Anolis sagrei: one gene and its partners. The protein of the gene in region 4 interacts with the protein of the main gene of each other region in a biochemical or structural test. Links are inferred from orthologs where the notes say so. Each region holds a gene or a part of one and is shown on either strand. Other genes may lie near its edges.

Region 1 (7,784 bases), on a different chromosome or scaffold from region 4:
ATATTAAATACTGTTATTATTATATTGATCTAATTACATTTATTTTACAGTATTATTTATTTTATTAAAACAATCATTCTATTTTATTTATTATTTTGTTTTCATTGTAATTGTTGCATTACATTTCATTTAATATTATTATTATTATTATTATTATATTATATTACTATTTAATATTATTTTAATTAGTATTATTATAATTATACTATATTAAATACTGTTATTCTTCTATTAATATGATTACATTTATTTTACAGCATTATTATTATTATCATGCCTTATATTATTATATTACATTACTATTTAATATTTTAAGTTATATTACTATATTATATTATATTTATTATATTACATTACTATTTAATATCATTTTAATCAATATTATTATATTACATTAGTATTTAATATTTTAAGTTATATCACTATATTATATTTATTATTTTATTTAATGTTTTATATTACTATATTATATTATATTTACTAAATTATTTAATATTTTAAGTTATATTACTATATATTATATTTATTATATTACATTACTATTTAATATCATATTAATCAATATTATTATATTACATTACTATTTAGTATTATTTATTATTATAATTATACTATATTAAATACTGTTATTCTTCTATTAATATGATTACATTTATTTTACAGCATTATTATTATTATTATTATTATTATTGGGTTGTTGTAGGTTTTTCAGGCTATATGGCCATGGTCTAGAGGCATTATATTATATTATTATATTATTATTTTTAATAATATTATTATATATTTTATAATAATATTACATTATTATTTTAATAATATTACTATATTGTTACATTATCATTGTTATATTATTATATCATTATTTTAATTATATTGTTATATATTTTTATTATAATATTATATTATTATGTAATATAATTATATTATATTATTATTTTTAATATTACTATATTATTATATTATTACTGTTATATTATTATTGTATCATTATTTTAATTATATTATTATTTTAATAACATTACTATATTATTATTACATTATTATTGTTACCTTATTATTATATTATTATATAATATAATATTATTATTTTTAATAATATTACTATATTATTATATTATTACATTATTATTGTTATATTATTATTATAATATTATTTACATCAACCTCATCATTCTGCCTTAGTACTATTATAATTATACTGTATTAAATACTGTTATTATATTAATATAATTACAATTATTTACAGTATTATTATTTTAGGGAAGGAGCCAGTCTGATGTCCACGGGAAGGGCGTTCCACAGCCGAGGAGCCACCACCGAGAAGGCCCTGTCTCTCGTCTCCGCCAGGCGTGCCTGTGAGGCAGGCGGGATCGAGAGCAGGGCCTCCCCGGACGATCTCAAAGTCCTGGTGGGCTCGTAGGCCGAGATGCGGTCAGATAGGTATCTTGGGCCAGAACCATTTAGGGCTTTAAAGGCCAATGCCAGCACCTTGAATTGAGCCCAGTAGCAAATCGGCAGCCACTGGAGCTGGTACAACAAGGGCGTTGTGTGCTCCCTGCATCCCGCTCCTGTTAGTAACATGGCTGCCGCGCGTTGGACCAATTGAAGCTTCTGGGCCGTCTTCAAGGGCAACCCCACATAGAGAGCGTTGCAGTAATCTAAGCGGGATGTAACCAGAGCGTGGACTACCGTGGCCAAGTCAGATTTCCCAAGGTACGGGTGCAGCTGGCGCATGAGCCTAAGCTGTGCGAATGCTCCCCTGGTCACCGCTGAAACTTGGGGTTCCAGGCTCAGCGATGAGTCCAGGGTCACACCCAAGCTGCGAACCTGTGTCTTCAGGGGGAGTGTGACCCCATCCAGCACAGGCTGTAACCCTATGCCCTGTTTGGCCTTGCGACTGACCAGGAGTGCCTCTGTCTTGTCTGGATTTAATTTCAATTTGTTCGCCCTCATCCAGACCATCACAGCGGCCAAACACCGGTTCAGGACCTGGACAGCCTCCTTAGTAGCAGGTGGGAAGGAGTGACAGAGTTGGGCATCATCCGCGTACAGATGGCACTGTACCCCGAACCTCCAGATGATCTCTCCCAACAGCTTCATGTAGATATTAAACAGCATGGGGGATAGTATTGAACCCTGTGGAACCCCACAAGACAAAGGTTGTGAGGTAGAACAGGTGTCCCCCAATAACACCTTCTGGGTGCGACCCTCCAGGAAGGACCGGAGCCACCGTAAAACAGTCCCTCCAAGACCCATTCCCGCGAGGCGTCCCAGAAGGATAACGTGGTCAACAGTATCGAAGGCCGCTGAGAGGTCCAGCAGCACCAACAGGGACACACTCCCCCTGTCGAGCTCCCGGCGCAGATCATCCACTAAGGCGACCAAGGCCGTCTCGGTACCATGTCCCGGTCTGAAACCAGACTGTGCCGGATCCAGATAATCCGTGTCTCTCAAGAATACCTGGAGTTGTGAGGCCACCACACGTTCCAGGACTTTGCCCAAAAAGGGGAGATTGGAAACTGGCCGGAAGTTGTCAAATTGAGTGGGGTCCAATGATGGTTTCTTCAACAGCGGTTTTATCACAGCTTGCTTTAAGCTGGCTGGAATTCTGCCTTCCCGAAGGGAGGCATTAACCACCACCTTCACCCACTCGGCCAATCCCCCTCTGGCCTCCTTCAGAAGCCAGGATGGGCAGGGGTTATATTACTATATTATATTATATTAATTATATTATATTATTATTTAATATTTTAAGTTATATTACTATATTTTATTATATTTATTATATTACATTACTATTTAATATCATTTTAATCAATATTATTATATTACCTTATTATTTAATATTTTAAGTTATATTACTATAGTATGTTATATTTATTACATTACTATTTAATATCATTTTAATCAATCTTATTATATTACTTTATTATTTAATATTATTTAATAAATATTATATTACATTACTATTTAATATTATTTTAATTAAAATTATTATAACTATACTACATTAAATACTGTTATTCTTGTATTAATATAATTATATTTATTTTACGGCATTATTATTATATATTATTGACATCAGCCTGACCATTCTGCCTTGAGATCCTCCTCCTGCGTGACGTCACTTCCGCCCTCTCCCAAGCCCGAATCGCCGCCATCTTGTGCGGCCTACTTCCCCTCACGAAGCCTCCTTGGCGGTACTTTTTCACCCCGAGCCGGGCTTCCCGGGCCCCCCTATATTTCGGGCACCCCGCTTCCTTTGGGGACACCCCCGTGGTCCCCCGAGGCCGGCTTTTTCCCTTTTTCGGAGCCCGCTCCCCGATTTCCGCCTACCTTCAGCTCGGCCGCCTCCGCCATCTTGAGGCATCCTCGCTAGGGAGCGGAGGCAAACTCCCAAGCTGAGGCGCAGGCGCAGAAGAAGCCGAAGCCAAAGCCACGCAGGAGGGGGCGGGGCCTCCAGAAACCACGCCCACAAAGGGGCGGGGCCGAAGGCAGCCTCGGTAAAGAACGGCTTGGGAAGCTCCAGGGAGCGTCGCTAAAGAGCTAACCCTCGCAGCAGACGCAGAATAGGATGGAATAGTTATTACTAAATGTTGGGGAAACTGGAGAAATAATAGAAAATATTGGAAAGAACGATAATAATAATAAATAATAGAAAATATTGGAAATAATAATATTAATAAATAATAGAAATTATTGGAAATAATAATAATAATTAGAGAAATAATAGAAATATTTGAAATAATAATAATAACTAGAGAAATAATAGAAAATACTTGAAAGAATAATAATAATAAATAATAGAAAATATTGGAAAGAATAAAAATAAAAATAAATAATAGAAAATATTGGAAATAATAATAATAATAAATAATAGAAAATATTGATGATGATAATAATAATTAGAGAAATAATAGAAAATATTGGAAATAATAATAATAAATAAATAAATAATAGAAAATATTGATGATGATAATAATTAGAGAAATAATAGAAAATATTGATGATAATAATAGCATAATAATTATAATTATTATTAAATGTTGGAGAAACTAGAGAAATAATAGAAAATATTGCTAATAATAATAGCATAATAATAAATAATAGAAAATATTGGAAATAATAATAATAACTAGAGAAATAATAGAAAATATTGATGATAATAATAATAACTAGAGAAATAATAGAAAATATTGGAAATAATAATAGCATAATAATAAATAATAGAAAATATTGGAAATAATAATAATAAATAATAGAAAATATTGGAAATAATAATAATAAATAATAAATAGAAAATATTGGAAATAATAATAATAACTAGAGAAATAATATAAAAATATTGATGATAATAGCATAATAATAATAATAATAATAATAATAATAATAAAATGTTGGAGAAACTAGAGAAATAATAGAAAATATTGGTAAATAATAATAATAGCATAAAATAATAGAAAATATTGGAAATAATAATAATAATAATAATAATATATGCTGATGACAGTGCCATCACCGCCCAAGCAGAGAGCTTTGAAATGGTTGAACAGAAGCTCTCCAAAGCTTTAGCTCAATGTTTCCCAACCTTCCTAATGCCTCTTAATACAATTCCTCATGTTTAACATTGACACAAATGACCAGCCACTGCCAGAAGGGAAAAAGACTTTAATATACGCTGACGATCAGGCCATCACCACTCAAGCAGGGAGCTTTGTAATGGTTGAACAGAAGCTCTCTGAAGCTTGAAGTGCTCTAACCGTCTATTACAGGGAAAATCGACTGATTTCTAATACATATAAAATGCAGAGAAAAATGTATAAAATCAAAAAGGACTTCATAGGAAATCTGCTACAAAACAGGAGCTTTTCTGTTGAGTTTCAGGGCCAGAGAAGCAGATGGCGAAGATAGAAAAACGACCTGAATCAGGGGAGTGTGCTTACTCCGTGCATGTTTAACATTGACACAAATGACCAGCCGCTGCTAGAATGGACAGCAAGTTTAATATACGCTGATGATCATGCCATCACCACTCAAGCAGGCAGCTTTGTAATGGTTGAACAGAAGCTCTCCAAAGCTTTAGGTTCTCTTACTGCCTATTACAGGGAAAACCAGCTTGCAGCATTCATGTTTACATTGACACAAATGTCCAGCCACTGCCAGAAGGGACAGAGAGTTTAATATACGCTGATGATCATGCCATCACTGCCCAAGCAAGGAGCTTTGTAATGGTTGAACAGAAACTCTCCGAAGCTTTAGGTCAGTGTTTCCCAACCTCCCCAATGCCTCTTAATACACGTCCTTGTGTTTAACATCTACACAAATGGCCAGCGACTGCCAAAAGGGATAGTTTAACATATGCTGATGATCGTGCCATCACCACCGAAGCAGAGAGCTTTGTAATGGTTGAACAGAAGCTCTCCAAAGCTTTAAGTCAGTGTTTCCCAACCTTCCTAATGCCTCTTAATACGGTTCCTCAAGTTTAACATTGACATGAATGACCAGCCACTGGCAGAAGGGATAGAGAGCTTCATCTATGCTGACGATCATGCCATCACCACCCGAGTTTGCTGTAGTGTGCTGTTCCCAAAGTACATTCGGAAATCTTTCCCTGTGGATACGGGACTTGTATGGTAGAACACTTTCAGAACCATAACTCGCAGCCCTTCCCCTGAGAAAAATGTATAATATCACAAAGGATGACCACTGACTTTTATTTTAATCTCATTTTATTTATTTTTCTGCCCATCAGTCGTCATTTGTCCTCAGGATCCGCAGCAGCATCTCGTGCACCTCTTTGTCCATGAAGCCCTAAATTGGAGACATATTTTCATTATTATTATTATTATTATTATTATTATTTATTATACTGACACAGCAAATGAGGTCCATAAGCTGGCTCTCATATCACAAAAATAATATAATAATATATAATAATGATATGATTATTATTGCAAATAATAATAATAATAATAATAACATTAATAGTATCATTATTATCATTATTATTAAATATTGTTGGAGAACCTAGAGAAAATATTGGAAATAATAATAATAATAATAATCACATAAAATAATAGAAAATATTAGAAATAATAATAATAACTAGAGAAATAATAGAAAATATTGGTTATAATAATAATAACTAGAGAAATAATAGAAAATATTGGAAATAATAATAATAACTAGAGAAATAATAGAAAATATTGGAAATAATAATAATAATAATAATGGCATTAAATTAAATACTGTTAAACCTAGAGAAATAATAGAAAATATTGGAAATAATAATAATAATAATAATAATAATAGCATTAAATTAATTATTGTTGGAGAATCTAGAAAAATACTAGAAAATATTGGAAATTAATAATAATAGCATAATAATAATTATATAAAATAAATAATATTATATAATAATAATAATAGCACAATAATTATATAAAATAAATAATATTTAATAATAATAAATGTGATATTTATATTATTATTATTATTATTATTCCAATATTTTCCATTATTTCTCTAGGATTTTCTAGGTTCAGTATTTAATGATGATGATGATGAGGATTATTATTATTATTATTATTAAATATAGTTGCAGAACTTAGAGAAATAATAGAAAATATTGGAAATAATAATAATAATAATAATAGCATTAAATATTGTTGGAGAACCTAGAGAAATAATAGAAAATATTGGAAATAATAATAGCATAATAATAATTATATAATAATAATAATAATAATAATAATAATAAATGTTTTGAAGATGCAAGGCCATTCAATGCCAATTGAAACATTCCCACTTGCCTCCAAAAGACAAGAGAAATAATGAGAAATATGGGAACTAATAATAATAATAATAATAATAATATGAGTCTTACCTGGGCCGCATTGAGCAGGTGAGTTCGGTAAATGGCCACAATCTCTTGATGGTTTTTCTGGGCCACCTGTTAGGATAAATGTTGATATAAATATTATTAATATTAAATATTTGCAGAAAAATAGGAATATATTGCATTCTAGGAATATTAATATTATTAAATGTTGATGGTGGAAAAGTAATTGATAAATTATTTATATATCCAATTGGATTTTCAATTAATTGTTAATTCTGCTAATCTGTATCATTCCAATTTTAGTGTATGTGCTGTTGAATATTCTGTGAATATTTCATTTATCCTACATTATTTATTATTATTATTATTAATAATAATAATATTTATTTTTCCTGCAATTATTATTAATATTAATTTTCCTGCAATTATTATTTATTTTTCCTGCAATAATAATTATTATTATTATTAATGTTCCTGCAATTATTATTATTTATTTTTCCTGCAATAATAATAATAATAATAATAATAATTAATTTTCCTGCAATTATTATTATTGCAGGAAAAATAAATAATAATAATTGCAGGAAAATTAATAATAATCATAATTGCAGGGAAAATATTATTATTATTATTATTATTGCAGGAAAAATAAATAATAATAATAATTGCAGGAAAATTCATAATAATAATAATTGCAGGAAAAATCTGCGATTATTATTATTTATTTTTCCTGCAATAATAATTATTATTATGATTAATTTTCCTGCTATTATTATTAATGTTGCAGGAAAAATAAATAATAATAATTGCAAGAAAATTCATAATAATAATAATTGCAGGAAAAATTATTATGATTATTATTGCAGGAAAAATAAATAATAATAATTGCAGGAAAAATAAATAAATAAATAAATAAATAATGCAGGAAAATTAATTATTATTA
Region 2 (7,346 bases), about 120 Mb from region 4:
TTGCCTGCATCTATGGCAGGCATCCTCAGAGGTTGTGAGGACCTCACAGGTTTGGGGTGTGTGTGCTCTGGGGAGAGTTGTGTCAGCATGGCAAGGATTTATGTGCACGTTTTCCATATTTTGGGGATTTTCTACAATTTTCCCCAGGAAAACACCTGTTTTCTGGAATACCTGTCTCATTTACTCATCCAAAATAATACCAACATTGATTCAGTTCAACATCAAACACTTCTTATAATTGGCCTCTGTTTGATGGTGTATCATAACTTAAAAGTCAATTGTTTTCTTTAAGGTTTGTAGTTATTGTGAATATACTTTTTATTATTGTTGCATTGCCTGGATATATTGTACAAGACAGGTGTCTCTGAAATACCTTAAAATAAATAAATGTAACCAGAGTTTAATTAAAGTTCTCATTGGTGGTGAGCAGGTCCTGAGATAAAAGTTTTTTTCAGTTCACCAAAACTAAAAACCACAATAGCATTCCTTGTACTGAAACTAGCATTGGTTATATCAAATATTTGATTTTAACTATGTTTTTAACATCTGTTTTGTATGTTATAAGCTGTCTTGGGTGCACTTGTGGAGAAAAGTGGGGTAAAAAAAATCTGAAATAAATGAAGTATTTAAACGCTACACTTAAAAAAGAATTGTTGGTATTCCTTTTTTTTAATTTAAAGGTTTTTTATTGAGTGAATTGATGACATACAAAACATTAAAAAGAAAACTAGGGATAATCAAGTACATATAATACAGGTATGCCATTCCCCAAGCAGGTACATTGCAACGTTCTCTTGTATGTACCATTTCCCCATAACAGATTGCAATACAGAAATATGTTATGTCTTGCGTCCTATAATATATGGCATTCATCCTCTAGCTCTATTAAAGGTAAGGATTTCCCCTGACATTGTCTGGTCATGTCCGATTCTGGGGGGTGGGTGGTGCTCATCTTCATTTCTAAGCCGAAGAGCCGGTGTTGCTCGTATACTCCTCCAAAGTCATGTGGCTGGCGTGACTACATGGAGCACAGTTACCTTCCTGCCAGCGTGGTAGCTATTGACCTACTCACATTTGTATGTTTTCGAACTGCTAGGTTGGCAGGAGCCGGGTCTAACAGCAGGAGTTCACTGCGCTTCCCTGATTCAAACCACCAACCTTTTGGTCAGCAATTTCCCCAGATCAGTAGTTTAAACTGCTGTGCCACCTGGGGGCCCTCTAGCTGTATTACATACTTGTTATTTACTTCTATCTTCCTTCCCCTTGTTTACCCTTCACCTAGTGATGACCCTTCACTCCAGACCAGCCAGTTGCAATACTTATCAGCATTCCTTAATGAATTCAACACAAACATATATTTCGTAAGAAACACCACATACCTCCAGCCGTGAAATTTGTTGAGGGCCAAAGCTTTCCTCTTCTGTTGATGCATCTATGCTTGTGTCACTCTGCATTTGCATGGCCATGGCTAAAGTTGTTGATGTTTCTAATAAAACAGGAAAAGTCTGCTAAATGATGGGATGTTTCACAGAGCTTGTTTGGTACAAGACTCCATTTGTAAATAAGTGGTTTAAAGGTTTGATATGTTTTAAATGACTATTTCAATGTATATGTTTATTTTACTGATGTATGTTCGTATGGCATTGGATCGCTGCCTATATATATGTAAGCCACTTTGAGTCCCCTACTTGGTGAGAAAGGCAGGGTATAAATTGAGTAAATAAATAAACACATTTACTAGTATTTTTATTGGGCAGTCAAACCCTCTACATAAATAAAATGTAATGTTCATTTGTGGAATTAACATAACTCAAAAACCACTGGATGAATTGATGGTCACTCGTTGACACCTATCAGGTCAACGAGTGACCATCACTCATAAAAACACTGAAAAACACAGTGACAAAAACAACTCCAACCCCAAAAGGCTGTTAGGAATTGTGGGAGTTGAAGTCCAAAACCCTTGGAGAGGCCAAATCTGTCCCTACCTGGTCTACAGCGTGGAACTATTCCACAGCATTGAGCCATGGTAGTTAAAGCCGCCCCGAGTCCCCTTTGGGGAGATGGCGGTGGGTTATAAATAAAGATTATTATTATTATTATTATTATTATTATTATTATTAAAGGTGCCCCATAGGCCATTCAGCCCAACCACTTTTTTCAGTAAAGGAAGACACCACCAAAGCCCTCCCGACAGATGGCTATCCAGTAGGAAAGGAGCACCAGAGGCCATCCAGTCCAACCTCATTGGGCAGTAAAGGAAGACACCATCAAAGCCTACCTGACAAATGGCCAACCACTTGGAAGGGAGACCCAAAAGCCATCTAGTCCAACCCACTTTTGTCTGTCTATCTGACCATCCATCTCTCTACCTTACCTATGTTCTATCCATCTACCTTCAGTTCCGTCTATCAATGGCCTTCCACATGTCTCTTCTGTCTATTGTTTCATGCCTGGAATTCCTCTGTTTTCTGAGGGCCACAGCAACGTGTGGACGGCTAGTATGCTATAATAATACCAATTTAAATCATTCATTTGGGTTTCCTATACAAAAAAGCATACAGCTAATATTGGGTATTTCTACACTGCAGGATTAATGCTGACCAGGCCTGGGCAAACTTGGGCCTTTCAGATGTTTTGGACTTCAACTCCCATCATTCCTAACAGCCTCAGGGCCCTTCCTTTTCCCCCTCAGCTTAAGCGGCTGAGGGGGAAAAGGAAAGGGCCCGAGACTGTTAGGAATGATGGGAGTTGAAGTCCAAACATCTGAAAGGCCCAAGTTTGCCCAGGCCTGGTGTAGTAAATGGACTCACTCTCTCAGCCACACTTGTGGACCATTGTGAGGTTCTGGGAGTTGTAGTCTGAAAAGATACCCCTCTCCCAGTCTCTACGCAGGCCCTTGTCCCACCAGGAAAGAGAAGCCACAGCTGGCCAAACGCCCTCTCTTTGCCCAGTAATGGCGGCCTCACTCAGCCAACATCATTCCCACTCTGAGTGGAAGGCAAACGTTTCCTTTGAAAAACAAAACAAGAACTTCTCAAAGCAGGAGGAAGCCGAGGGGAGAGCCCCCCAATATTATCTGTTTCTGAATATGAATTATGGAGGGGGTGGGGAGAATGAAGCTACCTCAGTGGTTCAGGCCCCGTCTGCTTCCCTGTTTCCTCTTCCTCTCCGCCCACAAATTCGGAAGAGCCCGCCACTGCGTCACGTGACTGCGCTCTCCTGAAGAGTAACGCCTCTGCTGCGAGCTGACTGGTCCGCTCCGGCGTGAGCTTGCCCCCCCCGTTACGCATGCGCACCGCCTCTATACTTGCCCTCTCTCCCCTCCCTTCTTCCAAGAGGCTCTTTTGCAGCCAGACATCACCTTTTGGAAAAGTGTTGTCGAAGGTTTTCATGGCCGCAATCGCTGGGTTGTTGCGAGTTTTCCGGGCTGTATGGCCATGTTTCAGAAGCATTCTTTCTCTAGGCGTTTCGCCCACATCCATGGCAGGCATCCTCAGAGGTTGTGAGGTCTGTTGGAAACTAGGCAAGTGAGGTTTATATATCTGGAATGTCCAGGTTGGGAAAAAGAACTCTTGTCTGTGTGAATATTGCAATTGGCCACCTTGATTAGCATTCAATGGCCTTGGAGCTTCAAAGCCTGGCTGGTTGCTGCCTGGGGGTCCTTTGTTGGGAGGTGTTAGCTGGCCCTGATTGATTCTTGCCTGTTTTTTGTGTTGTTCTTTATTTACTGGCCTGATTTTAGAGTTTTTTTTAAAAAAATACTGATGGTCAGATTTTGCTGTAAATAATTGCGGGAGTTGAAGTCCAAAACACCTGGAGGGCTGAAGTTTATTTATTTATTTATTTATTTATTTCGGTTTCTTCTACCCTGCCCTTCTCACCCCGAAGGGGACTCAGGGCGGCTTACAAAGGCACAATTCGGTGCCAGCGTCACATAACAGTAGTAAAACAAAATAACACCAATTAAACAGTTGAACAGTTAAACAACAATTCCTGCATTACAACCCTAAAACCAATAAAATTTTCCAGATTAGGAACCTCCAGCACCAAATCCTAGAAGCACTTTAGTAGAACCAAGATCACTGCACACTGCACTTATATTATAATCCTACTTTCCTCCCGCCACATCAGCACTTTTAATCCTGTACCCCTACTCTGGCCGGCCCAGTTTTAATAGTGTCTTGTTGTATTGTTACTGTTATTGTTTTTTCTGCTTAACTGTTTTTAATTTTGCTTTAGGTATTGTACTTTTTGTATTGTGTTTTGGGGCTTCGGCCCTTGGGAGATGCTAGCGGGGTACAAATAAAGTTATAATAATATAATAATAATAATAATAATAATAATAATAATAAAACCAATAAAACAAGACAAACCCAATTACTCCTCATAGACGGTCAGCATTCACTATCTCATACTCCAAATTCCAATTCCACATTGTCAGTCCTGTCAGTCCTAGTCATTTGATTGTCCTTATCTAGTTGTCAGATTGCCCGAAGGCCTGGTCCCACAACCACGTCTTTACTTTCCTCCTGAAGGGGAGGAGGGATGTTGATGCCCCAATTTCTCCCGGGAGTGAGTTCCACAGGTGAGGGGCCACCACCGAGAAGGCCCTGCTCCTCGTCCCCATGCCCATGCCTGGTGTAGATGCACTCCTAGAAAGGACTTTTATTTATAGATGCATTATTGTTATTTACATTGTATTAATTATTAATGAAATACATGAGTAGATATTAATTAGCAATTAGTGTTGTTGATATACACCTAGGCCCAGAAGCAGACCAAGTCCTGCAAATGCCCTCACAAGCATTTTATATCTCCTAGTAGTGCAATTAAATTTCACTTATCCCCAGATCCCCTGTCCAGACACACACTATTGCTCTCTCACCTAGTGTTTTTAATTTTTTAATCCTTTGGAATTGGCCCTGCCCACTGAGATTTATCTCTCCATCTTAAATGTTACAATTTTATATTGATGATGTAGTATTTATAATGCTTCGTATTTTATTTTTATTTTATTTATTGCTGTGTTCTATTGTATTTTGATGTATTGTATTGTGGGTTTGGCCATATGTAAGCCACCCTGCGTCCCCTTGGAGAGATGGTGGCAGGGTATAAATAAAGTTGTTGTTGTTGTTGTTATTATTATTATTATTATTATTATTATAAATGTCCCTCCATTGCAATTAGCCTCTTGCACTTAATTGCCCCCCCCCCTTTTTTTTTTACCAATGAGTCGTGTTGCTTCTTAACATGTTTCCACTGCAATAATCTGTTTAATCACCATAATTTCCAGTGAGAATTCAGGCTTGATTTGCCCTAGACCCATTTATTTCTCATTTGGATGATCCATGTCATCCATGTGTCTTCTAGTAGCACATTCAAAATGAGTTGATCTCCACTATCCAGCTTCAAAACATATATAGAAATCAGAAAACCTTTGCAGTGGATGATCCTGACCTTGGTATTTATATAACTTTACACTTTATGTTATGCAACTCTTCCTAGATAGGTTTAAGACGTGACTGGGTATCTGAAGGATGCAGAAACGTTTGCTATTAACTTTCAATCATACTTGATATTTAACTGAGTTGACATAAGAGTCCAATTTCTCACATTTAGGTCATGAGCAGGAAATCAGTATATTTAAATGTGGCTGACTTTTTTTTCTATCTTTAGTTTTAGGTCTTTCCTTGCTGTGTAGGAGGCCAAACCATGGCACCACAACTTATAAAATGCTGACAGCATCAATTATTTTAAATTCACAAGATTTTATTTGTCCATTCAGATAGCAAGTAATTGTTTCAGTAGATTAAAATTTTCAGCCAAAATAAACTCAGCAAAGCCTGGGTAAGAATTAGTGTTAACCACCAATTCTAAGGTATGCTGGTTAAAGCGGCTTGTCTTTGATTCCTTTTATGAACACAGAATAGAAAACGTAGTGGAAACCATTAATCATTGCTTGTGTGGATTTTCTGTCCATGTTATAATTTGTTATGTTCTTGTTATATAATCTGCCATCCTTTCAGGCAATACTTAATGGTATCGAAAGTACTGAACCAGTGCAGGGTTTGTGGAGTCCTTCGGTGGTGTGATATAGCAGCAATCAACTCTCTTCATTTTTTCAATAAACTATTGAAATGATTGATAACTGGGAAATAGAGGGAGAAAACGTAGAGGCAGTGACAGACTTTGTATTTCTATGTGCAAAGATTACTGCAAATGCAGATTGCAGCCAGGAAATCAGAAGACGCTTACTTCTTGGGAGGAGAGCAATGATCAATCTTGATAAAATATTGAAGAGTAGAGACATCACACCGGCAACAAAGATCCGCATAGTTAAAGCAATGGTATTCCCCATAGTCACTTATGGATGTGAGAGCTGGATAGGGAAGGCTGAGTGAAGGAAAATAGATGCTTTTGAACTGTGGTGTTGGAGGAAAGTTCTGAGAGGGCCTTGGGCCGCGAGAAGATCCAACCAGTCCATACTTCAGGAAATAAAGCCCGACTGCTTATTGGAAGGAAGGATTTTAGAGGCCAAGATGAAGTACTTTGGCCACATCATGAGAAGAAAGGAAAGTTTAGAGAAGACAATGATGCTGGGGAAAATGGAAGGAAAAAGGAAGAGGGGCCGACCAAGGGCAAGATGGATGGATGGGATCCTTGAAGTGACTGGATTGATCTTGAAGGAACTGGGGGTGGTGACGGCCGACAGGGAGCTCTGGCGTGAATTGGTCCATGAGGTCACGGAGTCAGAAACGACTGATCGAATGAACAACAACAACAACAGCAATATATATACATTAAAAAGTGGCTGAACCCACCATTTCATTTTGAGCTACTTTTCTTCATAAAGTTTCATAAAGTTTACGGAGACTATGGTTCAAGTCCAAGAATTGGCATAAAATACAGTGGGACAGTTGCTCTGTTGACAAAATTGCCTTCTTAGTGGTATGGCAAGAGAATAGAGTTATGGTAAATCATTCTGTAAAATCGCTCACTTCTGATAGAACAACAGGGAGTGCTAAATATTTTAAATGCTTGTTTAAGATTTGAAGCTACATTATAATTTCTTTTGGAGGACAGTTGTAAATAAAAGCTGAAATTTTGAGTACAAACTATTGAGTTTTAAGCATTCATTCATAATAGATATAAATAAAACCAACAGTGAGAGTCTAGGAAAATATTTGTGAAATAGTGGTATGCACACATCAAAATATGTGGAAAAGCCTTAACAGTTGCACATGTTATAACTAGCACTTTTTTTGCTCTTGGCTTATAGCCACATTCAGGGTAGATCTATCCTTGAACATCCTCATACAATTGCATTCTGGGTCTCCCCCCCC
Region 3 (8,177 bases), on a different chromosome or scaffold from region 4:
TCTTCTACTATGTACTTGGAAGACAACTTCAATCAAGTGGGGAGGGACTGCAGACACCTCTACACCCATCCCAAACACTGCTTAAAGTTATTGGAGAATGGACCTTTTCTGGGAAGGTCCCAGCTTTGTGGGTCCCTACAGATATCAGGGCCACCACCACTATTTTATCATTTAGGAAAGGAGTGAAAACTTTTATGTCTGAAGAGGCCTTTGGGGGAAATTAAAATTGTAGATGGACCACGGATCTCTCTAGATCCAAGAGTACAGAAATTTGTCTCCCAATGCGGTTAATGAATTATTTTAAATAGGTATATTTGTAAATAGGGTTTTTTATCACTGACAGTTTTAGATAATCAGATTGTGATAAGGAATTTATCGAGTTTTAATCTGTTTTAAATTTTACTTTACATTTTTAAAAAGTTTACTACCTGGCCACCGGCCTCTCCTCATATGAACCTGTCCAGACACTGCATTCATCAAGTGAGACCCTCCTCTTGGCCTTCCAGCTGGTTGGGATGAGAGAAAGGGCCTCTCTGTAGTTGCCCTCACCTCTGAAACCCTCACCCAAAAGAGATCAGAATGACCCCCATGCTCCCCTCTTTCAAAAAACAACTAAAAGTTATCTATGCTCCCAGGTTTATGGAGAATCAAACATTTCAATATCTGGCTTTCTACACAATTAATGGTCTACAGATAGAGCTTTAATGAAAAATATGGTTTTTAATCTATCAACCTGGCTTTTAATCTTGCTTTTAATTGTTGCCGTGAATCATGTTTTGTTGATTTGTTATGATGTTTCATTATGATAAATTGTTTAATTATTTGTATTTTTAATTTATTATGTATTTGTATTTTGTTATGTATTTGTGTGGCATCGAATGGTTGCCATCTATGTTGTAAGCCACCCTGAGTCCCCAGAGGGAGATGGGATGGGATATAAATAAAGTTTGAAGATAATAATTATCATAGATTCACACAGGCCATCTAGTCCAACCCCCTGCCATGCATGAAAAGCACAAAGTACCCCTGACAGATGGCCACCCAGCATCTATTTAAAAGTTTCCAAGGAAGGAGCTTCCAGCAGACTCCATGACAGAGAGTTCCACTGATGAACAGCCCTTCTTACAATCAAGAAGTTCTTCCTCGTGTTCAGGTGGAATCTCCTTTCCTGTCATTTGAACTCATTACTCCACTGAGTCCTAGTCTCCGAGGCAGCAGAAAGGATGCCGGCTCCCTCCTCTCTTATGACATCCTTTCACATATTGATACATGGCTTTCATGTCTCCTCTCAACTTTCTCTTTTTTCAAACTAAACAAGACACCAGATATTTGATCATTTTGGTCACCCTCCTCTGGTGGGTGACCAAGCTTAGAGTCAATATTATTTATTTATTTATTTCTCGCATTTCTATCCCATCCTTCTCAACCCCTGAAGGTTGAGAAGGACGGCCCCATGGGGCCGACTCAGAACGGCCCCATTCCGAAGCGACTACATAACAAATTACAAAATTAAAACCACAATTAGACATAAAAGCATAAATAACAATACATAAGCCATTGTCAAAACAGTAAAACAGTCTCATCAGCCATATCATCATTCCAGGCACATTCCCTTAAAGTGCTGCTTGCATCTATTGTCCAAAAGCCTAGCCCCAAAACCATGCCTTTAATTTCTTACGAAAAGCTAGGAGGGAAGTGGCCGATCTTACCTCAGTTGAGAGTGTATTCCATAGGCGGGGGGCCACTGCTGAGAAGGCCCTGTCTCTCGTCCTCACCAGGCGCATTTGTGCTGTTGACGGGAGCGAGAGCAGGGCCTCCCCGGATGATCTTAGGTTTCGAGGAGGGACATAGGGGTGGATGCGTTCGAATAAGTAAGCTGGTTCAGAACCGTATAGAGCAGTGGTTCTCAACCTGGGGTCCCCAGATGTTTTTGGCCTACAATTCCAACAACTTCGCTTCTGGCCAGAGCGAAGACAGAAGGGAGCAGAAGACATTTCCATCTTGTATTTACTAATAATATAATATAGTATATTGTATATACATATAATATTTATAACATTATAATGTAATACAATATAATACTAGTAATAATAATTCAATATTATAATTATAATTATATATTTACATTACATGTAATATTACTAATAATATTACAATATAATGGTATAGTGCAATATAGCAATATATACTGATATTGTACTATGCTAATATAATATATTGTATGAAAATATATATTGTAAGCCACTCTGAGTCCCCTTCGGGGTGAGAAGGGCGGCATATAAATGCCGTAAATAAATAAATAAATAAAACTCCCAGAAATCCCAACCAGTTTATCATTGGTTAGGATTTCTGTGAGTTGAAGGCCAAAAACATCTGGGGACCCCAGGTTGAGAACCACTGGTATAGAGCTTTATAGGTCAAAACCAGCACTTTATTTATTTACTTACTTACTTACTTTGCTTGTATACCGCAGTTTCTCAGCCCGTAGGCGACTCAACGCGGTTCACAACAAGATCAAAAAGTCAGTCCAACAGCATAGTTTAAAAACCATTAACAGCATAGTATAAAAGTAATAACACATCAATAACAACACATTAACGTCTCGTAACTAGAATCGTAGTCCAATTCGTCATCCGTGATTCCGTTCCTATATTCATCGTATTCATTGCACTGTTTAACCGAATGCCTGTTTAACCTTTATCTCTTTTGAACTGTGGTGAACAGAATTGGACACAGAATTCCATGTGAGGTCTGACCAAAGCAGAATACAAAGGCACTAAGACTTCCCTTGATCTGGACCAGGCATGGGAAAACTTAGGAATTGTGGGAGTTGTAGTCCAAAACACTTGGAGGGTCGAATTTGCCCATGCCTGCTCTGGAGTATTAGTTGTTGTTCTTATTGCATTTGCGTCTCGCCTTGGTGCGGGAGAAAAGCGGGGTACAAATCGACTCAGATAAGTAAATAAATCAATATTGCCTGCCAGGGATCTATGAAGCCAGTTTCTGAAACGGGAGGAAATAGAGAATGCGTGTCCTACCTCGCAGGGCGGCAGGGAAGACCCTTCCTGAGGGAAACAGCTCCTTTGGGGGGCCAGGGGGGCCTCCTAGGGGTCTCCCTCCCATTTACAAAGCTCCTGAGGGAAGAGAAGGGAAGCTGCCCCTCCTGAACGCCTTTTCCTCCCTCAGCCGAACTCTCCTTTCTCCCTCTCAGGCCAGGAGGCCGGCGGAGGGTCGAGAGGAAGGGAAAGGCCCGAAGCCTGAGGGAAAGAACCGGAGAGAAAGAAGGGGAGAGGGGGAATCAAGCAGGGGGGACGAGGAGAAGGAAGCTGCGGGGGGAAAAGGGGGCCCCTTCCGAACTGCGCCTTTACCTTTAGTTCCGCACTGTCCGCCATCTTGAATCGCGGGGCGCATGCGCAGTGGGCTCCACCGAGAACCCCGCCCCCTCCGCCGCCTCGGCCTGCGCGCGCTGCGTTTGAATCGGCGCCGCCGCGCCTGCCGCCATTTTGTTTGGGTCCCGCCTCAAAGCGGGGTTGGGACCCGAGGCGGGAAAGGAGTCCCAACCCCCCCCCCCCCCCTCCGTCGCCCCGTAACCCAGACTTCTCGATATTGTACACATATTACATTCATTTTCCTCATAACCACGGTGAGGATGAAGTCAATGGCGTTTTGAAGGGGTGTTGAGGAGAACTTCAGGCTGGTTCTGGGAAGGCGCATGCGCAGAAAGAAGCGCGCCTAGCCACTGGATTCCAGGCTTGTGAAGGAAAAAGAGCCTCAAGTTGACTGTGATCCAGATAAAGGCCTCGCTTTTACCTCACCACATCCATGGAGAAGAGTCGGGACTGTCCTTTGGGAGTCTCTATATATATCTACATAAGCCAGAAATGGAAAAGAATAGCACAGGATCATATATGTCATGAGAAATGGTAGTTTTGCATGAAGCCAATGGGATTGTGGCCTGCATCAATAGGAGCATAGTGTCTAGATCTAGGGAAGTAATGCTACCCCTTTATTCCACTTTGGTTAGACCACACCTGGAATATTGTGTCCAATTCTGGGCACCACAATTCAAGAGAGATGATGACAAGCTGGAATGTATCCAGAGGAGTGCGACTAAAATGATCAAGGGTCTGGAGAACAAGCCCTATGAGGAGCGGCTTAAGGAACTGGGCATGTTTAGCCTGAAGAAGAGAAGGCTGAGAGGAGACATGATAGCCATGTATAAATATGTGAGAGGAAGCCACAGGGAGGAGGGACCAAGCTTGTTTTCTGCTTCCTTGGAGACTAGGACGCAGAACAATGGCTTCAAACTTCAAGAGAGGAGATTCCATTTGAACATGAGGAAGAACTTCCTGATGAGAGCTGTTCAGCAGTGGAACTCTCTGCCTCGGAGTGTGGTGGAGGCTCCTTCTTTGGAAGCTTTTAAACAGGCTGGGTGATTTGAATGCAATATTCCTGCTTCTTGGCAGGGGGTTGGACTGGATGGCCATGAGTTCCCTTCCAACTCTTTGATTCTATGATTCTAAGCCCATGGAATGGATCAACGACAAATCAGAATAGGAAAAATTGTTTGCCCACAGACTGCAAAAAAACAGTTGACTGTATTCAAGATAAAGACCTCAGTTTTACCTCCCCACATCCTTAGCGAAGAATCAGGACTGTCCTTTGGGAGTCTCTATATATGTCTATATAGGCCAGAAATGGAAAAGAATAGCATAGGATCATATATATTATGACAAATGGTAGATTTGCATGAGTGGATCCATCACAAATCGGAATCGGAAAAATGGACTCCTTTGAGGATTTGTGGAGCCCACAGACTGAAAAAAATAGTTGACTGTATTCAAGATAAAGGCCCCACTTTTACCTCACCACGGCCATGGCGAATAATCAGGACTGTCCTTTGGGAGTCTCTATATATGTCTATATAGGCCAGAAATGGAAAAGAATAGCATAAAATCATATATATTAAGACAAATGGTAGATTTGCATGAGTAGATCCACCACAAATCGGAATCGGAAAAATAGACTCCTTTGAGGATTTGTGGAGCCCACAGACTGCAAAAAAACAGTTGACTGTATTCAAGATAAAGGCCTCGCTTTTACCTCACCACAGCCATGGCAAAGAGTTTGGACTTTTACAAATAAAAATGTAATGTTCGTTTGTGATATTGACAGAACTCAAAAACCACTGGGGGAATTGACACCAAATTTGGACAGAACACAGCATTCAGAGCAATCTATGTTCTGCACTCAAAAAAAATCCTCCCAAAAAACAGCAAGACCTTAAATTTTAAAAGAGAACACTGTGCATGCATCCAAACGCATTATCTTCTCCCCCATCCCCGCCGCACGAGCACAGCCAGCTCGAGAGGCATCCCACAGCCATGGCAGAAAGAAGCGCCTCCCTCTCGCCTGCTCTGCGCCTGGCTCCGAGGATCCTTCCTTCCAGCACCCAGGCAAGAGGTAAAGCAGGGAAGGAAGGGAAGCAGCAAAGAAAGGAGAGAAAGAAAGAGGGAGGGAGAGAAAGAAAGCAGGAAAGAGAGAAGGAAGGATGGAAGCGAAGAGCAAAGGAAGGAAAGGGAGAGAAGGAAGAAAGGAGAGAAAGAAGGAAAATAAAAGAAAAGGAGGGAGGAAAGTGAGATGGAAAGGAAAAAAGGAAGGCATGAAGGAAAGAGGGAGAGAAGGAAGGAAGTTGAGAGAGAAAGAGGGAGGGAAGGTCGGCCACAGCACCTACTAACCCAAGGAGTTACCATCACTCAAAAAATTGAGTTTGTTATTTGGGAGTTGTAGTTCCTGGGATTTATAGTTCACCTATAATCAAAGAGCATTCTGAACTCCACCAACAATGGAACTGAACCAAACTTGGCACACAGAACTCCCATGACAACAGAAAATACTGAAAGGGTTTGGTGGGCATTGACCCTGAGTTTTGGAATTGTAGTTCACCTCCATCCAGAGAGCACTGTGGATTCAAATATTGATGGATCTGGACCAAACTTGGCATGAATGTTCCATAAGCCCAAATATGGACACAGATGGAGTTTGAGGGACATTGCCATTTGGGAGTTGTAGTTACTGAGATTTATAGTTCACCTACAATCAAAGATCATTCTGAACCCCACCAACGACAGAATTGGGGCAAACTTCCCACACGGAACCCCCATACTGAAGGCCATCCAGTCCAACTCCCTCCACCAGGTCAAGAAAACGTAATCAAAGCCCTCCTGACAAAGAGCCATCCAGCCATAGATTAGATAGATTCACACACAGAGAGATATAGTATAGATTTGAAAGGGACCCCTAAAGAAGGACAATTTCCATCTTGCATGTTCCAAAGTAGGCAAATCAGACAATCTCCACATCAACACTGACAAAGAAACAGCAAGAAATACTGTTGACCCACAAGCATAAAGACATTACATATATTAGAAACCAGCACTTTCTCATTACTTGATTTTCCAGGTCATCAGACGGCCACAACAATGCGTGGCAGGGGAGAGCTAGTATCTACATAAATAAAATGTAATGTTAGTTTGTGGGATTAACATAACTCAAAAACCACTGGATGAATTGACACCAAATCTGGACACAAGACACCTCTCATGCCAACAAGTGACCATCACTCATAAAAACACTGACAAACACAGTAGAAGGGACTTAAAAAGCCAAAAAACAAAATTTACATTGCAACGCATGCCAAAACCACATATACATACGTAAACACACATATACAAACATAAACACATATACATAGACTGGGCCACAGCAATGTGTGACAGGGGACGGCTAGTAGGAATATATGTGTGTGTGCTTATATATATATCGGCCAGAAATTGGAAGGAATTGCACAGGATCATATATATTTTGACAAATGGTAGATTTGTGTGAGCCCCAATGGAGTGGGTTGACAACAAATTAGATAAAGGAATAGGAAAACTCTGTCTGCTATGTTGATATGTGAAGCTGAGCTTATGGAAACATCGTTTTGTGGTTGCATTTCACCACAAAATATTTTAAAAGAAGAATACATTTCTGCGGAAACACTTCCCCAACATTTTATAGGCCATTATTTTGGTGTCACCTAAAATAATGGTAAAACTGAGGCCTCTATACTTTGAACGTATCGTGACACGAAGGTACTTAATGGAACTCATAGAAGATTGCACTGCAACTGGATGGATTCGGTCATAGGAGCCATGGCTGCTGAATTTGCAAGGTCTGAGCAGAACTGTTTTGCTGTCTTCCATATAGCATTCACATGACAGCAAATAATGACAACTGTTGATAAACTATTGTTATTTAATAACAATAACAACTATTAGAATTGTGATGGACATTCTGTGACATCAGCTCAGGCAGTGCCTGGAGTGGAATTATTCCTCCCCATTTGAGATAGATTCTGGAAGGTGATTTATATCAGCTCAACCAGAAAATTTGACAAAACCAGTGACTAAAAACCAGCAACAGTGAAAAGAGCACATTTTTGTAGTCCCTACAGATGAAACTGCACAGTACAGTTGAAGCTGGGTAATAATGAAGCATATCCACATTAGAAGGTAAATGAACACAAAGCTTTACCTTTTAGCAATATTGACACAGCATATATATATATATAAACTGGCCTAATGAAAAATATATTATGTGGTTATATCTAACTAAAAAGGTTGCTAAGAGTGATTTGGTTACGTATTTGTGGACTGGATGCCCCTTGGGGTCTCTTCCAACTCTATGATTCTCTCCTCTCTATTTTATTATTATGTTATTTTAGGTATTTATTTATGGGGACATTCACACGCAGCCTTTGAGTACCTCCTACATAAGTGCTCGACAGATTGTCACCTTGTCCTGGTGAGGGGGCTTGCGTGTTCCAATGAACCTGCGGGTGTAACCACTGGAGTCATGTACTCCTAGGAGGGGCCACAGGGGAGAATCCAGACTAAGAACAATACAAAGACCTCAATGGTGGAGCAAGCGGAAGATAACATGATACATGTTACAACGGCTGTGAAGGCGGAATAAGGTGTGCACCCCACTCTGTGAAGACCGTGTGCTGATTGGTTGTGCACTAACCTCCACACATTAAAAAATTCGCACACAGGAGTCTTCCAAGTTTGAGGACCAGGACGTCCGTAGGGAGACCAAGGTGCTTGTTTATAAAGCTATTGTCCTCCCAACCC
Region 4 (8,292 bases):
GTCTGCTTTGATATTTTGTGCGCATTCAGAAGAAGATCTACAAGCCACTCCAAACACCTTCGCAGAGCATACGAGAAGCTCGGCCTGTCATTGAACATCGAGAAAACCAAAGTGCTCCTCCAGCAGTCACCAGCCAACCCCTTTCCAATGCCAGAGATACAGCTTAATGGTGTAACATTAGAAAATGTTGACCCTTTCCGCTACCTTGGCAGCCACCTCTCCACCAAAATCAACATCGACACTGAAATAAAACACTGCCTGAGCTCTGCGAGTGCAGCATTCTTCCGAATGAAGCAGAGAGTGTTTGAGGACTGGGACATCCATAGGGATACCAAGGTGCTTATCTATAAAGCTATTGTCCTCCCAACTCTGCTATATGCCTGTGAAACCTGGACTGTCTACAGACGTCACATGCAACTCCTGGAACAATTCCATCAGTGCTGCCTCCAGAAAATCCTGCACATCTCTTGGGAAGACAAGCAGACAAACGTCAGCGTGCTGGAAGGAGCAAAGACCACCAGCATTGGAGTGATGGTCCTCTGCCATCAACTCCGCTGGACCGGCCACGTTGTCCGGATGCCCGACCACCATCTCCCAAAGCAGTTGCTCTTCTCCAAACTCAAGAATGGAAAACGGAATGTCGGTGGACAGGAAAAGAGATTTAAAGATGGGCTCAAAGCCAACTTTAAAACTCTGGCATAGACACTGAGAACTGGGAAGCCCTGGCCCTTGAGCGCTCCAGCTGGAGGTCAGCTGTGACCAGCAATGCTGTAAAATTTGAAGAGGCACGAATGGAGGGCGAAAGAGAGAAACGTGCCAAGAGGAAGGCGCGTCAAGCCAACCCCGACTGGGACCACCTTCCACCTGGAAACCAATGCCCTCACTGCGGGAGAAGATACAGGTCAAGAATAGGGCTCCACAGTCATAGAATCATAGAATCATAGAATCAAAGAGTTGGAAGAGACCTCATGGGCCATCCAGTCCAACCCCCTGCCAAGAAGCAGGAATATTGCATTCAAATCACCCCTGACAGATGGCCATCCAGCCTCTGTTTAAAAGCTTCCAAAGAAGGAGCCTCCACCACACTCCGGGGCAGAGAGTTCCACTGCTGAACGGCTCTCACAGTCAGGAGGTTCTTCCTCATGTTCAGATGGAATCTCCTCTCTTGTAGTTTGAAGCCATTGTTCCGCGTCCTAGTCTCCAAGGAAGCAGAAAACAAGCTTGCTCCCTCCTCCCTGTGGCTTCCTCTCACATATTTATACATGGCTATCATATCTCCTCTCAGCCTTCTCTTCTTCAGGCTAAACATGCCCAGTTCCCTAAGCCGCTCCTCATAGGGCTTGTTCTCCAGACCCTTGATCATTTTAGTCGCCCTCCTCTGGACACATTCCAGCTTGTCAATATCTCTCTTGAATTGTGGCGCCCAGAATTGGACACAATATTCCAGGTGTGGTCTAACCAAAGCAGAATAGAGGGGTAGCATTACTTCCTTAGATCTAGACACTATGCTCCTCTTGATGCAGGCCAAAATCCCATTGGCTTTTTTTGCCGCCACGTCACATTGTTGGCTCATGTTTAACTTGTTGTCCACGAGGACTCCAAGATCTTTTTCACACGTACTGCTCTCGAGCCAGGCGTCACCCATTCTGTATCTTTGCATTTCGTTTTTTCTGCCAAAGTGGAGTATCTTGCATTTGTCACTGTTGAACTTCATTTTGTTAGTTTTGGCCCATCTCTCTAATCTGTCAAGATCGTTTTGAATTCTGCTCCTGTCCTCTGGACTATTGGCTATCCCTCCCAATTTGGTGTCGTCTGCAAACTTGATGATCATGCCTTCTAGCCCTTCATCTAAGTCATTAATAAAGATGTTGAACAGGACCGGGCCCAGGACGGAACCCTGCGGCACTCCACTTGTCACTTCTTTCCAAGATGAAGAGGAAGCATTAGTGAGCACTCTCTGTGTTCGTCCACTTAACCAATTCCAGATCCACCTCACCGTAGTTTTGCCTAGCCCACATTGGACTAGTTTCCTTGCCAGAAGGTCATGGGGGACCTTGTCGAAGGCCTTACTGAAATCCAGGTACGCTACATCCACGGCATTCCCTGCGTCTACCCAGCTTGTAGTTCTATCGAAGAAAGAGATCAGATTAGTCTGACATGACTTGTTTTTGATAAATCCATGTTGACTATTAGCGATGACCGCATTTGTTTCTAAGTGTTTGCAGACCACTTCCTTAACAATCTTTTCCAGAATCTTGCCCGGTATCGACGTGAGGCTGACCGGACGGTAGTTGTTTGGGTCATCCTTTTTTCCCTTCTTGAAGATTGGGACCACATTGGCCCTCCTCCAATCTGCTGGAACTTCTCCCGTTCTCCAAGAACTCTCAAAGATGGTTGCCAATGGTTCCGAAATGACTTCCGCTAGTTCCTTCAATACTCTGGGGTGTAGTTGATCTGGCCCTGGGGACTTGAACTCATTAAGAGCGGCCAGGTATTCCTGAACGACTTCTTTCCCAATTTGGGGTTGGATGTCCTCCAAACCCTCATCCACTCCATCTTGCTGAGGTTGAAGACTCTCTTTTTGTGAGAAGACCGAGGCAAAGAAGGCATTAAGTAGTTCTGCCTTTTCCCTATCCCCTGTCAGCATTGCCCCATCTTCTCCTCGAAGAGGTCCTACCGCCTCCTTGTTTTTCCTTTTTCTACTGACATAAGAATAGAAGCCCTTTTTATTGTTTTTAATGTCCCTGGCAAGTCTGAGCTCGTTTTTTGCTTTAGCCTTGCGGACCTTTTCCCTACAGGTGTTGGCTATTTGTTTGAATTCTTCTTTGGTGATTTCTCCCTTTTTCCACTTCTTGTGCATGTCTCTTTTGTGTCTTAGCACAGTTAGAAGTTCTTTGGACATCCATTCTGGCTTCTTTGCACTTGTCCTATTTTTTCTCTTTGTTGGCACAGTTTGCAATTGCGCCTTGAGTATTTCACTCTTGAGAAATTCCCATCCATCCGTAACTCCCTTGTCTTTTAGTATCTGTGTCCACGGAATGCTGCTCAGCGTTTCCTTCATTTTTTGGAAATCAGCTCTCCTAAAGTCCAAAATGCGGGTTTGACTTGTCTTAGTTTCGGCCTTCCTTTGTACCTCAAATTGCAGGAGCACATGGTCACTTGCCCCTAAGGATCCTACCACTTCGACCGCATCGATCAGGTCCTCCGCATTTGTTAAGATGAGATCAAGAGTAGTCAATCCCCTTGTTGCTTCTTCTACCTTCTGGACCATGAAATTGTCTGCAAGGCAAGCGAGGAATTTGTTGGACCTTGTACTCTTGGCCGAGTTTGTTTTCCAGCAAATATCGGGATAGTTGAAATCGCCCATGACTACTACATCTCTTCTCTGTGCCTGTTTGGTCAACTGTTGGCAGAAGACTTCATCAAGTTCTTCCTCCTGGCTTGGGGGTCTGTAGTAGACGCCTACAACGACATCTTTTTGAGTCCCAGTTCCCTTGATTCTTATCCAGATGATTTCAAGCTGGTTTCCCAGATTGCTGTCTTGAATCTCTTCTGTAGCATAAGAGTTTTTGACATATAAGGCTACTCCGCCTCCTCTCCCCTTTGTTCGGTTTCTGTGAAAGAGGTTATACCCCTCGATATCTACATTCCAGCGATAGGAGTCATCCCACCAGGTTTCAGTGATCCCTATGATATCATATTTGTGGTGTTGTGCTAAAAGTTGGAGTTCGTCTTGTTTATTTCCCATGCTCTGTGCATTAGTGTAAAGACATGTGAGCCCCTGAGATCTTCCCCTGAGCTGTTTAATTGGGATTATTGTGCTTTGGGTACTTGGTCCTTGTTGTGTTTGTGCAGCCCTCCGTTTAGCCTTCTGGCGATTCCCAGATATTGTGGGTAAAGTAGTGTTCGCAAGTCACCTACAGACTCACAAGAATTCTGATCCTGGAGGACTATCCTACTCCGCCGACGAGGGATCGCCTAAGAAGATATTCTGGGATATAGGGCTGTGTGGAAGGGCTCTTGAGTCCACACTCAGGTGCATTGTCTGCCTTGATAGTCTGGGCTATAGGGTGTGTGGAAGTGCCCTGAGTCCACACTCAGATGATGTGGGATTCCCTGCCTTGATATTTTGGGCTATAGGGCTGTGTGGAAGGGCCCTGAGTCCACACTCAGATGATGTGGGATTCCCTACCATGCTATTCTGGGCTCTAGGGCTGTGGGGAAGGGCCCATAGTCCACACTCAGATGATGTGGGATTTCCTGCTTTGATAATTTGGGCTGTAGGGCTGTGAGGAAGGGCTCTGAGTCCATACTCAGATACATTGTCTGCCATGCTATTCTGGGCTATAGGGCTGTGTGGAAGGGCCCCGAGTCTACACTCAGATGATGTGGGATTCCCTGCCTTGATATTCTGGGCTATGGGGCTGTGTGGAAGGGCCCCGAGTCTACACTCAGATGATGTGGGATTCCCTGCCTTGATATTCTGGGCTATGGGGCTGTGTGGAAGGGCCCTGAGTCTACACTCAGATGATGTGGGATTCCCTGCCTTGATATCCTGGGCTATAGGGCTGTGTGGAAGGGCCCTGAGTCTACACTCAGATGACGTGGCATTGTCTGCCTTGATATTTTGGGCTACAGGGCTATGGGGAAGGGCCCTGAGTCCACACTCAGATGATGTGGGATTTCCTGCCTTGATATTCTGGGCTCTAGGGCTGTGTGGAAGGGCCCTGAGTCCACACTCAGGTGATGTGGGATTCCCTGCCATGCTATTCTGGGCTATAGGGTTGTGTGGAAGGGCCCTTAGTCCACATTCAGATGGTGTGGGATTGCCTTCCTTGATATTCTGGGCTATAGGGCTGTGGGGAAGGGCCTTTAGTCCACATTCAGATGATGTGGGATTGCCTGCCTTGATATTCTGGGCTATAGGGCTGTAGGGAAGGGCCCATAGTCCACACTCAGATGATGTGGGATTTCCTGCTTTGATAATTTGGGCTCTAGGGCTGTGTGGAAGGGCCCCTTCTCGGCCTGTTTTGCTTGCTTCCCCTCCCTTCCTCCCTCTGCGCGTGTAGGAAGTGAGCTCAGGCGGCAGAGAGGAAGTCCCGCCCCCTCCTTGCCCTGCGCTCTCGCCTCTCTTGCTGGCTCCGCGTTTGGAGGAGGAGGAGGAGGAGGAGGAGGAAGGCAGGAGGGAAGGCGCCTAGGGGTCTCTCTCTCGGGGCAAGGCAGGAGGTGGAGAGGGGACGCGGCGAGGAGGAGGAGGAGGGCGGCTGCCTGCCTGCCTGAGCCCGCCACCCATCAGGATGTCGGACACGGTAGGAGGACGCCTTGCCCGCCGGCCCCGGGAGGCCTGTTTCCGCGGCTCCCCTCGGGGAAAACAAAGGCGGGATCCGCACCGCCGCGACTCCAGGCCATGCCGTTCTCGGCAGTGCAGGATCCAGCCAAGATGGGGAAGGCCAACCCACCATTCCTTGCCTTGCCTGCCTTCCCTCCTCTTCCCTGCGAGGCTTGGCTTCAGAAGAGCCTTCCTCTCGGCTTCCCTTTCAAGGATCCCACCCCTTCTCCCTCTTCCTTCCTTCCTTCCTTCCTTTGCGGGGATGATCTGGACTTGGAGTGAATGGAAAAGGAGGCCGAAGTCTTCCTCCTGGGCCTTGTTTTGTTTACTTGCCAATACACCCAGACCGCAGTGCACGAGTTGGGTCTGTTTGTTTACTTGTCTCAGCGCCGGAAACGAAAGAGGATGACATAGGCCTGCGTTTAGGGGGTGTTTTTTTTTTAGTCTTAGACCCCCATCTAGACTGGATCTACACTGCCATATAATCCAAGGCCTTTCCACACAGCCACATGACACAAAACATCATGGCAGGTAATCCACAAAATCTGATTTGAACCGAGTTATCTGAGTCCACACTGCTATATAATCCAGTTCATTGTGGATTTTATACCGCGATGTGGAAGGGCCCCCAGATTATCAAAGCAGATAATAATCCACATTGTCTGCTTTGAGTTGGATTATAGGAACCCCCCTTCCACATAATCCAGATTATCTGCTTTGAACTGCATAATAGGATGCCCATTCTACACTGTACTATAATCTAGATCAGGGGTCCTCAAACTTTTTAAACAGAGGGCCAGGTCACAGTCCCTCAAACTGTTGGAAGGCCAGATTATAATTTTTAAAAAAATGAATGAATTTCTATACACACTGCACATACCTTATTTGTAGTGCAAAAAACACTTAAAAACAATACAATTAAAATGAACAATTTTAACAAATATAAACTTCTTAGTATTTCAGTGGAAAGTGTGGGCCTGCTTTTGGCTGATGAGATAGGATTGTTGCTGTTGCTGTTGTTGTTGTTGTGTGCTTTCAAGTCATTTCAGACTTAGGTTGACCCTGAGCAAGGGCCGGATAAATGACCTTGGAGGGCCGCATCCGGCCCCTGGGCTATAGTTTGAGGACCGCGACCTAGATTGTCAAAGCCGACACTTCATATTATTGAAGCAGATTTTCCACTTTGAGCTGGATTATAGAAGGCCCCTTCTACCCTGCCATATAATCCAGATTATCATATCAGATAATCCACGTTATCTGCATTGAACTGGATTATAGGAAACCCCTTCAACACTGCCATATAATCCAGATCAGGGGTCCTCAAACTAAGGACCGGTGGCCGGATATGGCTCTCCAAGATTATTTACCCGGCCCTCGATCAGGGTCAATCTAAGTCTGAAATGACTTCAAAGCAGATAATCTGGATTGTATTTGGTAGTGTAGAAGGGACTCAAGTCTCATATCCATACTATAGTTTCTGAACACAATGGTTCTGTTTCTGTATCTAGATTTAGTATGAATTCTGTAAAAGCAATTCTTCCAAATGCTACAAATCTTTTGTCTTCCATCATTACTATTAATTACAATTTTTCTTTTGTCCACCTTTATTGTCCTCTAATTCAACCTTGCAACTTTTAATTTACTTCTCATTGCAAGTGGCAGATTTGAAGTACGGGTAACGTACTATATTTACATCGCACTAGTGAGTTGATCCTTAGTTTTTATTATTGTATTTTGATTCTGAAGTTAACAGCTCTTATAATTCTCAGAGCAACTTTTGTAGCTGATAGTCAAGATACTTCAGAAGATGCAAAAGACCATCAAAGCAGTAGGGAAACAAAACAACAAACAAAACAACTGGAAGCAAAGCTTCTGAATATATGCTGCATTAACTGCAGTGACAACATCTCAACTCCAATATGCAGGTTTGCAAGTTCTTATTTGTGTTTAATTTTTTCATGATTAAATACATATGCATTATGCCTGCCAGGATTTTCCATAGCAGGGTATCGTGTAAAAGGTTTCTACCTGGTTTCTTAATACCAGATGGAAACTTAAGTACATATTTATTTGGCATATTTTCAGCTTTTCAGAGAAGTTTATACCATTTTACCATTGGCTTCTATGAGCAACCCAAGGCACCCGGCTTTCTTTTAAAAAAGAACCAGAAGTTGGGTAATGCTTACTGTTGGTACCAGATGCTTGCCCTTATGTTTCTAGTTGTTAACTTTTCTGATTGGAGGATTACTGTATTTCTTTGATTCTGAGGTGCCATTGATTGTAAGACATACACTAATTTCAGTACTACCAAAATAATAATAATAATAATAATAATAATATTACATTACATTTTTTGATGTCAGGACTTGAGAAACTGCAAGTTGCTTCTGGTGGCCCTCTGCAAGGATGTTGCCCAGGGGATGCCCTGGTGTTTTACCATCCTGTGGGAAGCTTCTCTCATGTCCCTGCATGAGAAGGTGCAGCTGATGGGAGCTCACCCCGCTCCCCGGGTTTGAACCGATGATCTTTCGATTAGTAGTCTTGCTAACACAAGGATTTAACCCAGGGCTCCTCAAACTTTTTAAACAGAGGGCCAGGTCACAGTCCCTCAAACTGTTTTTATGAGTGACCATCACTCATAAAAACACTGAAAAACACAGTGGAAAAGACATTAAAAGCAAAAAAATAAATAAAATAAAAATACATATCACAACACATGCACATAACCACCTAAGTACACATATACACAAATATATACACATACACAAAAAAACACATGCACAGACTGGGCTACAGCAACGTGTGGCAGGGGACAGCTAGTCTATATAAATAAAAATGTAATGTTCGTTTGTGGGATTAACAGAACTCAAAAACCACTGGGCGAATTGGCACCAAATTTGGACAGCATACACCTAACAACCCAATGTATGTCCTTCACTCAAAATGTTTTGATTTTGTCATTT

What was found.
Region 1: the proteins of SUMO1 (region 4) and PIAS3 form a complex in vitro, tested with the Homo sapiens proteins (2 studies listed by BioGRID and IntAct, with this or other methods). The link is inferred for Anolis sagrei from reciprocal best matches to the Homo sapiens genes SUMO1 and PIAS3.
Region 2: the proteins of SUMO1 (region 4) and RAD51 form a complex in vitro, tested with the Homo sapiens proteins (2 studies listed by BioGRID and IntAct). The link is inferred for Anolis sagrei from reciprocal best matches to the Homo sapiens genes SUMO1 and RAD51.
Region 3: the proteins of SUMO1 (region 4) and PIAS1 form a complex in vitro, tested with the Homo sapiens proteins (6 studies listed by BioGRID and IntAct, with this or other methods). The link is inferred for Anolis sagrei from reciprocal best matches to the Homo sapiens genes SUMO1 and PIAS1.

Annotation. Positions count from the first base shown.
Region 1 is NC_090032.1:21,885,889-21,893,672, reverse strand, and holds the start of PIAS3 (E3 SUMO-protein ligase PIAS3), read right to left. Parts: upstream 3,445-7,784; 5' UTR 3,361-3,444; coding exon 3,337-3,360; intron 1-3,336. Other genes in the region: ANKRD35 (ankyrin repeat domain-containing protein 35), read right to left, coding at 5,749-5,811, 6,887-6,952. UniProt on the Homo sapiens protein: Functions as an E3-type small ubiquitin-like modifier (SUMO) ligase, stabilizing the interaction between UBE2I and the substrate, and as a SUMO-tethering factor.
Region 2 is NC_090021.1:289,656,295-289,663,640, forward strand, and holds the start of RAD51 (DNA repair protein RAD51 homolog 1), read right to left. Parts: upstream 3,227-7,346; 5' UTR 3,127-3,226; intron 1,487-3,126; 5' UTR 1,467-1,486; coding exon 1,380-1,466; intron 1-1,379.
Region 3 is NC_090029.1:24,240,293-24,248,469, forward strand, and holds the start of PIAS1 (E3 SUMO-protein ligase PIAS1), read right to left. Parts: upstream 3,442-8,177; 5' UTR 3,393-3,441; coding exon 3,369-3,392; intron 1-3,368. UniProt on the Homo sapiens protein: Functions as an E3-type small ubiquitin-like modifier (SUMO) ligase, stabilizing the interaction between UBE2I and the substrate, and as a SUMO-tethering factor. Catalyzes sumoylation of various proteins, such as CEBPB, MRE11, MTA1, PTK2 and PML.
Region 4 is NC_090021.1:165,250,524-165,258,815, reverse strand, and holds the start of SUMO1 (small ubiquitin-related modifier 1), read left to right. Parts: upstream 1-5,103; 5' UTR 5,104-5,297; coding exon 5,298-5,309; intron 5,310-8,292. UniProt on the Homo sapiens protein: Ubiquitin-like protein that can be covalently attached to proteins as a monomer or a lysine-linked polymer.